4 linked regions of the Callithrix jacchus genome follow. The protein of the gene in region 4 purifies or fractionates together with the protein of the main gene of each other region. This does not show direct contact. Links are inferred from orthologs where the notes say so. Each region holds a gene or a part of one and is shown on either strand. Other genes may lie near its edges. The genes, in order: UTP15, WDR75, WDR43 and UTP4.

Region 1 (3,571 bases), on a different chromosome or scaffold from region 4:
TGAGGCCTGGGCAACGTAGTGAGACCTCTTCTCTCAAAAAATCAAAATAAAAAATTAGCCAGGCATGGTAGCTCATGCCTGTAGTCTCAGCTTCTCAGGAGGCTGAGGTGGGAGGATAGCTTCAGCCTAGGAGGCCTAAGCTGCAGTGAGCTATGATCGCACCACTACACTCCAGCCTGGGCAACAGAATGAGACCTTGTCTCTAAAAACAAAACAAAACACAACAAAAAGTACTCCTGAATTTAAGTATTGATGGCTATGGGTACTGCTTCCTAACCTTTTTGAAAATGTGTATCTGTGACATATTTTGAGAACTGCAGCACTCTGAAGTTTTGTTCAAGGGAATGAGTAGTTTAGGCCGCAGCAGGCAAACTATTTCACAGTGCTAGGATGAAGAGCTCACACTCAGGGACTTGGAGAGTGAATCGACTACTTTAGTTAACTCAATGTTAAATGAAAATAATATCAATCTCGGATGGTGAGAATCAAATGAAATGACGTGTGAGAAAGCCTCTGCCATGTTACAAAATTGATGGCAAATACAGCTTTAGGTAGAATTTCAACTCCTAATTTTTACTACTATGCAAATTATCAGAATATTTATGGCGTTAATGTTTTAAAAAGGTTTTTAAATAGAAACTTTATTTAAATAAATTAACCCTTATTAACCCCAAAACACAGCTTCTGATCTTGACTAAATTCATAATTATGCAGAGAAACACACTGCTGGTTCCTTACAGGCCACTGTGCTGTATGATTGCTGAAATCGGTTCATGAAAGGGAAACTGGCCCTATTTCTGAGTATACCCGTAGTAGAACATACTAAGTATATTCACTTAGTATATTAATTTAAATGTTAATGTTAGCCTAAATATTAATGTTTAATTTTTACTTAATAACCTTACTAGAACATATTAAGTATTTTTTCTGCTTAAAAAAACCCTGAATTTACCAAACTAAAATTATGAAAGCAGATTCACATTACAAAATCTTCCTCTACAGGTTCTTCTAGCTCAAGACATTTTTCTTACTGATTTTTAACTACTTGAGTTGGGACAAGAATTAGAGAAAGTTAGGAGAGGTAGCAACTATGAAATCAGTGTACTAGAAGTTACTAGCCAACAATTATCCATCCAGAATGGATACATCAAAAAGCCAAGAAAATAAGAATGTCTTTATAAAATAATAATAATATTTACAGGCTGGGCACCGTGGTTCATGCCTGTAATCCCTGCACTTTGGGAGGACTAGGCAGGTGGATCACTTGAGGTCAGGAGTTCGAGACCAGCTTGGCCAGTATGGTGAAACCCTGTCTCTACTAAAAGTACAAAAACTAGCCAGGCATGGTGGCACACACCTGTAATCCCAGCTACTCAGAAGGCTGAGGCAGGAGAACCGCTTGAACCTGGGAGGCAGAGGTTGCCGTGAGCCGAGACTGCGCCACAGCACTTCTCTACTGCATTCCGGCAATAGAGCGAGACTCTTTCAAAAACAAAAATTCTAAAAAATAATATTTAAACTTTCAAAAACAACTATATTTCAAAGCAAACTGCTCTGGATTGGGGTTCTACAACACAATATGATTGTGAAGAATGGGGGGAAAATCTAAATACAAATCAGAGAAAATACTTTTCAGAGGATTAGGTAGCTATAAGATAAGCTCAAAACATATGAAAACTAGTTTGAAAGGCTCTTTATTATAAGAAAAATGACAAATTCTATCATTCCTCTGACCTGAAACAAGGTGAAAACTTGTTAGAAAGGCTGCATGAAGAGAAGAAAGAAAAACCAAGAGGTAGATAGACCAATCAGGTCTATCTCTAGACCTTGCTCTCACACTGAATACAAATCTGGCTAGTATCAGTCCTTCAGAGCTGACCACTTAACTTGCCACACTTGGAACAGCTGCACTCCCATTACCGGCTGAAGCAGGGCATGTGATCTAAGACAAGTGTCGACATCAAGGAGAGAGGAAGCAAGCTACACAAGGGCCTAGAAATCCCAAAGGCACTGATTAGCGTCAAGAAAGAGGCTTTTTGTTGTTGCCGTCTGTTTTTGTTGTTGTTTTCCAGAAGTAATACAAGGCTGTGTTCCTTTAGCAGGATTCCCAGTTGGATCCTCTCCAGAGAGGATTCATATTTGAATTCCCATCTGAATACCAATCCAAATGTTGATACAGAATACTCCTGTACTAAAATTATTATCAACTCAACCCACATAAACCTACTCTGTGTCCAAGACAATTGAGATCTTCTAGGTGAAGATGCTATAAAATAATTCAAAACAGCACATGGAAAACCATGTCTTACTTAAAACAGGTACTTGTTTTCCGACCACAATTGTTCCAGTCTCTTCTACAGAACTGCTTCTGTAAATAGTTTTTATAAGTATCAAAGAGAGTCTCTTTCCAACATTTAATAGAGGCAAATCTATTCCAACTTCAGAGTTCTTAAATGCCTTATTTAGCAGACACTATGATTCTATCTTCTTATTCTCTGGAAATCCATCAGATGTATGTTCCAACACAGAAGTGCCTTCCTTCCCTCTCATGGTGGCAAAAAGCATATCCATCATCCCCAAGGTTTCTAACAATTCTCTTTGGTAATCAATCTCTTTTTCTACAAGTCCTTGAAGTAGCAAAAACTTTTTATCAACTACAGGGGACTGACCAATCACAGGCAGATATATATCTAAAAAGAGAGAAAGAAAACACATTAACTAGCAATATCTTTCTATTCATTAAGTGAAAAACAAAGTTCTTAAAAGTATAAAAATACCATAAAAACACTGAAAAATCTGTACTTATGTTATAATTAATGATTTATAGAAAGTATAATGATCCCTCTGAGTAAATTTATTTCAAAAAACAATAATTACAGAAAATATAGGGTGGAAGTTCTGACTTATTTTCATTTTCCCATTTGAAAAATTGTCATGGTGATTACAGATGTCTATGAAAACAAAATTTTTTTTTGTAATAACCCCAGTCCCATCAATTCCAAGTCATGCCACTGTAAACATCTTACATTTTAAACTGCTTTGACTTGTTGTTTTCTCCATGAAAATCCATATTGAGAATTAATAAAAGCAAGATATTTTGATCTACCTGATTTCCAAATCTGATTCTTTGACATCTCTACTTTTGCAAGCATGTTAGGATTTTCAAGTTTTAACAACTACTTACCAATAATTATTTCAGCAGCATTGATTAAAACAGGGGCAAATCTTGGCTGAGAAAGATTCCTACAAAGTAAAAATTCAATTTAGTAAAACTTGTAAACTTAAACAAAAAATCCTTAAAACAGATTTGTTTCTTCAGTTCTCTACAAGGATCAAACTAAATATGTCTTTCATTTGGTGATAAAGGATTTCAGATGCAAAATAAAAGTGTTTCACAGACATAAAACATACCTTATCAAAAAATTAAGAACACGACTGACTTCCTTTTCATCTCGACCTGCAAGGGCATTTGCGAGGACTCCTCTTCGATTTAACTCCTTTATGATGGACACTGTAATCTCGGGTGTCTTTATTGCACAAGTAGGCTAGAAAAATTTTCAGTCAACATGAG
Region 2 (3,571 bases), on a different chromosome or scaffold from region 4:
CAGGATAGATAATGTGGTTTTACTCCAACATTTTAAAATTTCTCTGTCTCTATTTGCAGAAACCCTAAAATTGCCACTTTCTTTAAAAATATTAAAATTCTTTGTAAACATTATAAGCAGAGTACTTTCCTGTAACGACAAAAACAAAAAATCTAGTGGAAACTTAATAAAACTAAGTGCACTAGGACAAAAATTAAGCTATGTGTTACTAAGGTCTTCTGGTGCTACCAAAGTATGGTCCACAGTCCAGCATCTTAAACTGTTAGTTACCATTCTGTATGACAGTACAGTAAGTGAGTGTCACAAAACACTTTGACATTGCCACAGCATCCTAGCACATTGTAATTTCTATTGTATTTTATGAAAGTATTGGTCCTTGATGGATTGGAAAAAATTTTTTTTACACAGAATCTTCTTAATCACTTGAGAAGCAATCTTAATACTGATAAGTTGAAAGGAGTTTGGCTAATAAAACTGAGTTCCGGCAAAAAGAGCAATAAGCTGTTAAATACTTTTTTTTCGTTTGAGTCTTACACTGCTGCCCAGGCTGGAGTACAGCGATGTGATCTCAGCTCACTGCACTCACAGCTTCCCAAGTAGCTGGGATTACAGGATATGCCACCACACCTGGCTGATTTTTGTGTTTTCACTAGAAATGGAGTTTCACCATATTGGCCAGTCTGGTCTCGAACTCCTGGCCTCAAGTGATACACCTACCTGAGCGTCCCAAAGTGCTGAGATTATAGGTGGGACCCACTGTACCTAGGTGCTTTACATATCTCATTCACAACCTTACCATCTCACTCTTCAAGATAGAAGGTTGACTTTTTTCCTCTCTCTTTTAGTGGAAACTTGAAATGGATGGGTCTGCTTCTTGCAGAGAACTGTGAAAAGATTGTTTCACAGAAGCAATATAAATGACTCTACCTCTTTAAGGTTGACAGTGAAATAATGCATAGAAAATGCCCCTGATCAGCTTTTAATTATTTGTTTGATATCTTGATGAATTTCCTTTTTTTAAATCAGTTTTGTACTGTTTTACCCTTTTAGCTATATTCTTGTTCCCTTGATGGCACAATTAAACTGTGGGACTATATAGATGGCATCTTAATAAAGGTATGTGGATTGATCTTTATTTTTCCTTATGTGAAAATAAAAGGCAATGTAATATAATGGTAGATGTACTGTTTCAAATATTTAAATCGATTTCCTAAACAAATTACAGAATGACATCAAAAAAAAATTGACTACATAAACATTTTCCACTTACAAAAAGACAAGTTAAAGCTGGGAGAAAATATCTACAGAAAATATTATTCCAAATATACAAAAATATTCCCAAAAACCAATAAGGAAAAACTAATAGCCTTGTAGGAGAAATTTGCATAAAGTAGGAATATGTAAATTCAAAGAAAAAGAAATACAAGTAGCCAGTAAATATGAAGAGATGTTTAAACTCATTAACAAAGAAACAGAAATTTTAAAAAATGATATAGTATTTCCCCATAAGTTCAGCCAAATTGTAGATTGAAAAAAATCTAGTGATAGGTAAAGAATAGAGAAACCGGTACTTTGTACACAATGAGAGCTAAAACTAAAATTAGTAAACACATTTTGTTCCAGCAGCCTAACCTCTAAGAATCCCTTGTTAAAATAATGGCCTGTACATGTAGTCCTTACAACACTGTTTATGGCAGGAAAAAAGTTAAATATGACCTTGATGTCAGTTAAAATTATGATACATTTATTCAGTACAATACTATACAGCCATTAAAAAGAATCAGATCTGTATGTAGGAAACTTGAGAGGGTATTTAACAAATACGAAGCAGTTGTCTTCTGTAGGCCCGGTACTCTCCTTATGTTGGGAATACAGCAATGAGCAAAATATGAAAATCCCTGCCCTAATGGATCTTAGGTTCTACTGGAGGGACCAGACAGTAAACACTATGGTGCTCTTTATCTTTCAGACTTTCATAGTTGGATGTAAACTTCATTCCCTGTTTACCGTTGCCCAAACTGAGGATTCTGTCTTTGTTACAGTAAATAAAGAAAAACCAGGTATAGTATAATTACTTACTATATATGGCATTGAGTGGCTCTTTACATTTTACAGTTCCTCAAAATATAACATTTGATTTTAATCTAAAGCTAACAGTTTTTAGAGTGGGCACTTAAATTGCTTTGTCATTATTGTGTTTATTTGGAGAGGCTTTGTATGAGTTCTGAAATATGCAGTGAAGGAAGGATTATTTTCTATGTGGTTGTAATACTAGACTGCAAAGTTCAAATTTTAAACCTGCTTTGCAAAGGTGAATAGAATTTGTTTTCCTACTGAACTTAAATCTGTTATTCTTAAGCATCACTATCATTGTATCCATCATTGAACACTTCTTACTCTCTTGAGTAAGGGTAGGAAATGGCAAAGAAAATTGGTTGGTATTAAGAATAATAGTGTGACTAAGTTATTAATTACATTTTCACTGTCTTTGAAACATTGGTCCATTGAAACTGCCATGCATCAGCATTGTAGGAATTCCTGGAATATTATCAGTGATGACATAATTGTCCTTTATCATAGAATTTAATAAAACAGAACAGTGACATGAGGACACATCTAAAGAAATTTTCTGATCCCCAAATTCAAGAATGCCACCATACTCTGTGGTATCCTCCATGAAATATAGTTCTGTTCAGAATGAAGAATATAAGCAGCTTTAAGATGGTTAGTGGGGCCGGGCATGATGGCTCACACCTGTAATCCCAGTGCTTTGGGAGCCCAAGGTAGGAGGAATGCTTGAGGTCAAGAGTTTGAGACCAGCCTAGGCAACATATACCACAACCCTGTCTCTAAAAAGAAAAATAAGTTAGACATGGTGGCTATAGTCCTAGCTACTCAGAGGCTGAGGTGGGAGGATCAGTAAACCACCTCCAAAGCACATTTCAAAAAGTGTTCTATATGTGGCAACATTCTTAAAAATAATTAAGTCATCTTGCCAGATGACTGCTTCAAACATAGCAGTCTTTTTAATGTTTAATTTCAGTTTTGTTTATTGAATATGTAGATTCTTGGTATCGGTTCACATATTTATGAAACATTCAGATTCCTACTCTTCCTGACTGGCAGTTGATCACTAGGTTTGGGGTATACCTTAGGAATCTGCGTTTTTAATATCATCCCAAGTGATTCTGCTCATCGCTCATGTTTGGTAACAGCCTCCTATACTCACTCCATGATTCCTCAGTTGGAAAGTAGTTGCCAGTAGCTCTAGCAAAACTTTTATCCATGATTCTAAACACCAGCTACACATAGGAATCATGCAAAGAACTGAAGTAATAAGATTCTATATGCTGGGGCCTAGTTGTTTACTGAAAAAATTTTCCAGTTGTGTCTAATATGCAAGACAGGGTGGAAAACTACTGATCTAAAGTAAAGATCTTGTGTTGTAATCTAAATTCGTCTCATAAGGAGATCTATTATTAGTCTTCAGAACTTGGCATGTAATGGGCACCCAGCATATGAAAATCTGGATTGCTGCTACATAAATGTCAGTCAGGCTTGAAAAGTTCCC
Region 3 (3,223 bases), on a different chromosome or scaffold from region 4:
AAATTTTTCAATAAAAAGTTGGGAAGAAAAATTAATCTCAAAAAAGAAAACACACAAACTTTGTTGCATGGCTTAGGAGTGGAAAAAGACAATGAAATACTCTAAAAATACAAGATTCTTTTTGCAACAAGTCTAATTTCACTCTGGATTTTTCTAAACCAACAAAATAATTAGAAATTACCACATAGGTGTCATTATTTACTTCTTTAAGTCGAGTCAGGTATAAGGGAACCGGACTCGTAAGCCAGGTGTTGGTTACCAATACAGGATTTCACTGATCAGCACGTGCCTCTTCCTTTACTGTCACTGCAGCCCTGGGTTGTGAAGTCACAACCCAGCCAAGTGGGAATGCATGAGCATCAACCAGCTACAGCTGACACTAGACTAACACAAATGTCTTCGTTCTGTCACCTCATTGCAAATTCTAGGTTATCCACAAGCTTTGAAAGCACTTACCTATTTAATGCCAGGGGAGTGAAACTGCTTTTTAAAAACCTTCACACCACAAGCCCAAACATGTGGCTGTATTCCTCTACATATACCACAAGACAAGCACTGGGTAAAGATGAATATTTATTCACTTTACAAAGAAAATGGTATTAAATTGCCATAAACAGCTCCATTTATAGACAAAACTGTACATTACACCAGTAGCTGGTTCAAACTTGCTTTCCCAAGATGTTTATATGGCTCTGGCTCTTAAGTTGAGCACACAAATTTCTGTTCTGCCACTAATATTAAAGAGTCCCTCAAAGATAATGGTTTTGTTTTACATATTCACAGGTGGGAAAAAATAGATCCATCTGCCCAGCCCTTTCTTAGAGGTGAGCCTCCATCTGCATGTCCCCTAGTGAGCACTAAGCCGGTATCCGCTCATTCTTTAACAAAAAAAAAAAAAAAACTACTGATAATTTGCAAAGGCTTTTGTAGCACACCAAAATACTTATTTGTACATACATAAAAAATCTTAAGTGATATTATCATTTTAAAGGTAAACAGATACCCTAACACTGCCAAGAGTAGGTAATGAAAAGGAAGAAAAACATTAAATTATTTAATTATAAAAATATTTTCTTTGGAAAAAAATTCCAGCAAGGTTATCATTAATATCTAAAACCAAAGAGAAAAAATAAACAATTGCTCTTTGATCCATTAGTAATTTAAATAAAAATGAAAACCTCTTCAAAAGCAGCTATAACTGAATTTTTTAAAAAGTTGCAGGTAATGAGCTCTTCTAATCTATACACTGATGATTCTTTACAAGCAATCTGCAGACAAGAAAACTCCGTAATATGGCTACTTCTCTAGTTTTTCAGTTATCATAATTTCTGTCTTAAAAAAATACTTCACATGACAGCTTAAAAAATAAGTGGTTATTTTGGGGAAGCACTTCAAATATTCAATCTGACTCAAATCAGATTATCACAGTTAATAGAGAAGCTAGAGATATTGATGACTTTTTTTTAAATACAATCATTTTTACTCCGGTTTTTAGTTATCCCTTTGTATTTTATGAAAATGTACCAAATTAAATGTACTAAATTAAAAAAATTTTCACTAGTGCTGCTTTGCATCTGGATTTGATGAAAGACACCAACCTGAGATAAGAGCTGACTCCTTCACAACTGTCCAGTTCTTCAACTCCTATGGGAAAGGTCTTTATCTGCACGTAAGTCAATTCCTGATATAACCAATCTTACTAGGATATTATATTATAAAAATATACCATATATTGGACACTGATGTCAGTACATTGCAGAAAATGTGTCTATATACTGTGTAAAGTTTATTAACATCTGAATGAAACACTTTATTTACACAGTTAAGTCTGGGGTGCTCAGGACAGTAAGGTGGCGTAGAATCCACTGCTGTGAATTTGGAAATGCGCAGCGGTCCTTGGCATCCTGGCACAGAGGCAACCCTCACCACTGGGCAAGGTGAGCCAGAGTTTTATAGTTTGACTGGCTTGCTTTGCTGTCTTCATTCTTCTTCACTTTCATTTTCAGGATCTAAGTCAGAATCTCCATTTAGTTCTTTTTCACTTGCTCTATCTCTGTCCTCACCATTTTCTTCATCTTTTCCTTCGGCATCCTCATCTTCATCTTCAGCATCATCCTCATCTTTTTCACTTTCACTCTCCTCCTCATCTTCATCCCAATTATCCTAGTAGAAATACCAACAGGGAAAGCATTCGTGAAGGCCTCATTCTTACAAAGTATGAGTATACAAAGGCCAATGTATATACCAGGGAATGAATCACTCACATCAGAATCCTTATCTGCTATTTCATCGTCAGACTCCTCTTCAGAAGATTCTGTAAGGGGAGAAAAAAACCCAGCCTAATTTTAACACAAAACAGAGGGTATAGCCTGGAAATTAAAAAGAACCAGATTCCTGAATGTACTTTAGAAAGAAAAAAGCATTATTATTATTATTTTAGACAGTCTCCCTCTATCGCTAGGCTGGAGTGCAGTGGCGCAATCCGGCTCAATGCAACCTACATTTTCTGGTTTCAAGAAATTCTCCTGCCTCAGCTTCCTGAGTAGCTGGGAATACAGGCATGCACCACCATGCCCAGCTAATTTTTTAGTATTTTTAGGAGAGACGGTGTTTCACCATGTTGGTCAGGATGGTCTCAATCTCTTGACTTCATGATCCGGCTGCCTCAGCCTCCCAAAGTGCTGGGATTACAGGCAGGAGCCCCTGTGCCTGGCCAGAAATATTATTTATATTTAGCAATCATCCAATTAAGCCATAACTTTTGTTGTTGTTGTTGTTGCAGGCTGGAGTGCAGTGGAGAGATCTTGGCTCACTGTAACCTCTGCCTCCCAGGTTCAAGCCTCAGGTTCCTGCCTCAGCATCCTGAGTAGCCGCCACACCCAGATAATTTTTGGTAGAAGAGGGGGTTTTGCCATGTTGCCCAGGCTGATCTCGAACTCCTGGACTCAAAGGATCGGCTCACCTCCACCCCAAGGAAGTGCTAGGATTATAGGCGTGAGCCACCACACCTGGCTACTTTATTCTTATATGTATAAAAGCATATCATTATATTATTCCTTCAAGATCTTACTGGGACAAATTAATTAGCAAAACCCTTACAAAAATCTCATCTTAAAATACTACACTGTATCAGGGCTACCAAATAGCCCCAGTGATGAGGAAAAATTCAACAGAGAAAAGCTGGCTTATAAATGAAATAGAAGAATTAGCATGAATTTTAACC
Region 4 (3,571 bases):
GAAACAAAGCACATGCCCAGAAAAGACATATAAATTCAGGGTGAATCAAAACAGCAGCTGGCAAAGAGAGGCTGGAATCTAAAACTGAAGAAAATGCTCCTATCCCATCTATGTCACAGCCATGAAGATTTTTCCTAGCTGGGTTTTTTGGAGATGTTAAGACCAGTTCTTCAAGCCTGCAGACAGTATTTCAGCATCTTCAGCCAAGGGGCATAGAGGTCAAAACCTCAGCCTGTTACCTCCTTTAGAAACCATGTTATTCAGATACCCCAGGGTTCAAAGTCCAAAGAGAATCAGCCAAATCAATGAAACTTCCTGATGAAGGTTACCTTCTGAATATTGACCTAATCACTTTTGTATGTAAGATGTACATGCTCATTGGCAAAGCAGAGAAATAGTCAAATCAGCAAAAGCCAGTACACAAAGGCCAGCCCCTTCCCTGAGATCCTCCTGAAGAACTGTGGGAACACAAATCAGGGAGTCTGTAAAACAAAACCCCCTCTTCTCCAAGGAATGTACTAGCTACCTTTATTCTGATTTACTAGCTACCTTTATTCTGATTGTCCTTCCTCTATTTTATTGTACTTGTTGCTTTTAGAACGTGAAGTTTCAGAAGAAGATTTGGTGAGGTAGCAGTGAAGAACTCACCAATGACTTGTCAATGATGCAGAACATGTAGGCATCATGGAGAAGAATGTGCATCGGTCTCTTTGGATGAAAACTGATATGTGTGATAGGAGTATCCCTTTGGAGCCAAAGGTGGTGAAAGCCGTGCTTCTGGACAGTCCGGCTCCAGTCTGTATAGTGTTTGTCTGGGATGCTGTACTCAAATACCTGAGAAAGGACATGACACAGAGGAATGCAGGCTGGTACCCAGGAAGACCAGAAGGGAATTCTCCTTCCTAACCAGAAAGTATCTATACAAACCTTCAACTGTATTCAGTTTATTCAGTCTATGCTCTCCCACCACTTTTTTTAATGAAAAATTTTAGAAGGGAAATTATAGAACAATAAAAGTCATCCTGCAATCTTGACATTCCTCTTTTCTAAGACAAGAGCAACCCTCAATTTCATGTTTACATCTTTTCAGAGCTATTTTATGCATATAATATGTAGTGTTCTGTATCTTGCTTCTTCTTGCTTAGTATTATATCATGGAGACTGACCCACATCAATATACACATACACATCAGTCATGCCCATTCCGAAACATACAGTAGTCCACTCATTTTATGCATCATGATTTACTTATCCACTCTACTTAATGGACATTATCTTGTTTCATATCTTTGTCTACTATAAACAAAGCTGCAATGAACTGGTCTCTGTATAGAAGTCTTTTTTGCATAGCTGAAAAAAAAAAAAAATATATATATATATATATATATATATATAAAACTCTTGGAAATGAAATTTCTAAGTCAAAGATTAGTGGACTTTAAAATTTTTAAGGTATTGCCAAAATGTCCTCCAAAAGGGTTAGGATAATTTACACAACGTGTGAGAGTACTATTTTCCTATACCCTCACAACACTGAGTATTATCAACTCTTTGATCTTTGCTAATCTAATGGATATAAAAAATTTCCCATCAGTTTTACTTTTAGAAGCACTTAAGGGACCAAATGCCAGTAAAAGGTATTGGAGTAAACATTATCATTATGTGTGACAAAGGCAAAGATGTGGCTTCACTACTCTTTCAGTCTTTGATCAAGACTCAAGTCTATAAAACAAAGATTTCACTTTTTGGACAGTGTGTATGTGTTAGTGTAAAAACTGACCATCAAAACAGTAAGCATCGTTTGCCTAGCAGTCTACTTAAATGTGCTTCCAAAATTACATTTAATCTCAGTGAGGTAGATATAATCTCCAATTTTACAGATAAAGACATAGAATAATTGATAACTTCCTAATGTGTTCTACAGTCAAGGTTTTTGTTTTTTTTTTTAAAGATATCTTTATAGGCTGGGAGCAGTGGCTCATGCCTATAATCCCAGCACTTTGGGAGGCCGAGCGGGTGGATCACCTGAGGTCAGGAGTTTGAGACCAGGCTGGCCCAACATGGCATAACCCCATCTCTACCAAAAATACCAAAAACAAACAAACAAAGAAAAAAAACCCCAGAGGAAAAAAATCTCTTTATAATTACAATCTCCTTACAAATTGGTAAGGAAAAAGGCAGATTTGGTTCTAACTTTGGCTGAGATTAGGTACTTATCTTACTAGGGCTTGATTTCCTCATCTGCAAGGGTAAAGGTGAATAATACAATCTTTTAGTCACTTTCAACTCTCAAAATTTTATACCATTCCATATCGAGTTTAACACCCAAGCCCATGTCATCTCTGCTCTAGCATAATCAGGAAAATGAGTTCTTCAAAATTCCTCCCCTCTCTTACGATTCTTCACTCTTGAATCTTAGTACTTCTCCATTTAAACTGCATCCCATCAAACCAATGGATAATGCTGGCCTATGATGAACCCAGACAGGCAAGGAAGCTTTACTTCACACAGGAGAAAACTACCTTTCTCCTCCAGCACCTTCAAAGAAAAGCTCCCCTCAACTGCCCAATATCCCAGCTTCCAGGTTACTATCCAGAAGGAAGGGATTAGAAAGCATTGGAATCTCCCTTACCTGCTGGTCAGAATAAGCGATGACAAGGTTGTTGGTATTGGGGGCAACGGCCATAGCAGTCACCGGAAAATTGTAAGCAGGCACCGTGCAGTGAAGCTGGGAACAAATAACACACACAACTCTAAGTGACACTTTTCCTCAGCAAAGACTGAGTTGTCTAGGTCAGGAGTTTAAGTAGTGCTCCTTGGAACTCAAAAGGGTTCTATGAAAGTTCCCCCAAAATTTCAGGCATTTCCCCAACCAATGAACTTTAATTTCTTTTCTCTTTTTCTTTTGGAGACAGAGTTTCACTCTTATCATCCAGGCTGGAGCGCAGTGGTATGATCTCAGCTCACTGCAACCTCCACCTCCCAGGCTCAAGCGATTCTCCTCCTGGATTCAAGTGATTCTCTTCCCTCAGCCTCCCGAGTAGCTGGGATTGCAGAAGCTCGCCACCACCCCTGGCTAATTTTTTATATTTTTAGTAGAGATAGGGTTTCGTCATGTTGGGCAAGCTGGTATCGAACTCCTGACCTCAGGTGATCTGCCAGTCTTGGCCTCCCCAAGTGCTGGGATTACAGGCATGAGCCACCATGCTCGGCCTCATTTTCTTTAAAAATGCCTATTCGCCAGCCAAGTACAGTAGCTCATGGAGAAACCCTGTCTCTATGAAAACTGCTCTCCAGCCTGGGCAACAATGCAAGACTCAGCCTCAAAAATAAATAAATAAATGCCTATTGGTTGGGCACGGTTGCTCACACCTATAACTACAGCACTTTGGAAGGGCCAGGGTGGAAGGAATGCTTGAGTACAGGAGTTCAAGACCAACCTGGGCAACATAGGAAAATCCTATCTCTTAAAACACAAAATCATGAAGTGGGACTTAAGGAAAAAAAAAAAAAAAAGATTAGCTAGGTGTGGTGGGGCTGGCCCGCAGTCCCAGCTACTCGGGAGGTGGAG

Evidence for each region.
Region 1: the proteins of UTP4 (region 4) and UTP15 purify together in Homo sapiens (co-immunoprecipitation; 4 studies listed by BioGRID and IntAct, counting the BioPlex papers as one, with this or other methods). This does not show direct contact. The link is inferred for Callithrix jacchus from reciprocal best matches to the Homo sapiens genes UTP4 and UTP15.
Region 2: the proteins of UTP4 (region 4) and WDR75 purify together in Homo sapiens (co-immunoprecipitation; 3 studies listed by BioGRID and IntAct, counting the BioPlex papers as one, with this or other methods). This does not show direct contact. The link is inferred for Callithrix jacchus from reciprocal best matches to the Homo sapiens genes UTP4 and WDR75.
Region 3: the proteins of UTP4 (region 4) and WDR43 purify together in Homo sapiens (co-immunoprecipitation; 5 studies listed by BioGRID and IntAct, counting the BioPlex papers as one, with this or other methods). This does not show direct contact. The link is inferred for Callithrix jacchus from reciprocal best matches to the Homo sapiens genes UTP4 and WDR43.

Annotation. Positions count from the first base shown.
Region 1 is NC_133503.1:137,496,391-137,499,961, forward strand, and holds part of UTP15 (U3 small nucleolar RNA-associated protein 15 homolog), read right to left. Parts: intron 3,546-3,571; coding exon 3,412-3,545; intron 3,244-3,411; coding exon 3,185-3,243; intron 2,691-3,184; coding exon 2,473-2,690; 3' UTR 1-2,472. UniProt on the Homo sapiens protein: Ribosome biogenesis factor. Involved in nucleolar processing of pre-18S ribosomal RNA. Required for optimal pre-ribosomal RNA transcription by RNA polymerase I.
Region 2 is NC_133507.1:39,369,471-39,373,041, reverse strand, and holds part of WDR75 (WD repeat-containing protein 75), read left to right. Parts: intron 1-1,050; coding exon 1,051-1,116; intron 1,117-1,969; coding exon 1,970-2,060; intron 2,061-3,571. UniProt on the Homo sapiens protein: Ribosome biogenesis factor. Part of the small subunit (SSU) processome, first precursor of the small eukaryotic ribosomal subunit.
Region 3 is NC_133515.1:86,107,971-86,111,193, forward strand, and holds the end of WDR43 (WD repeat-containing protein 43), read right to left. Parts: intron 2,315-3,223; coding exon 2,265-2,314; intron 2,164-2,264; coding exon 1,981-2,163; 3' UTR 561-1,980; downstream 1-560. UniProt on the Homo sapiens protein: Ribosome biogenesis factor that coordinates hyperactive transcription and ribogenesis. Part of the small subunit (SSU) processome, first precursor of the small eukaryotic ribosomal subunit.
Region 4 is NC_133521.1:26,716,099-26,719,669, reverse strand, and holds part of UTP4 (U3 small nucleolar RNA-associated protein 4 homolog), read right to left. Parts: intron 2,729-3,571; coding exon 2,633-2,728; intron 835-2,632; coding exon 649-834; intron 1-648. UniProt on the Homo sapiens protein: Ribosome biogenesis factor. Involved in nucleolar processing of pre-18S ribosomal RNA. Part of the small subunit (SSU) processome, first precursor of the small eukaryotic ribosomal subunit.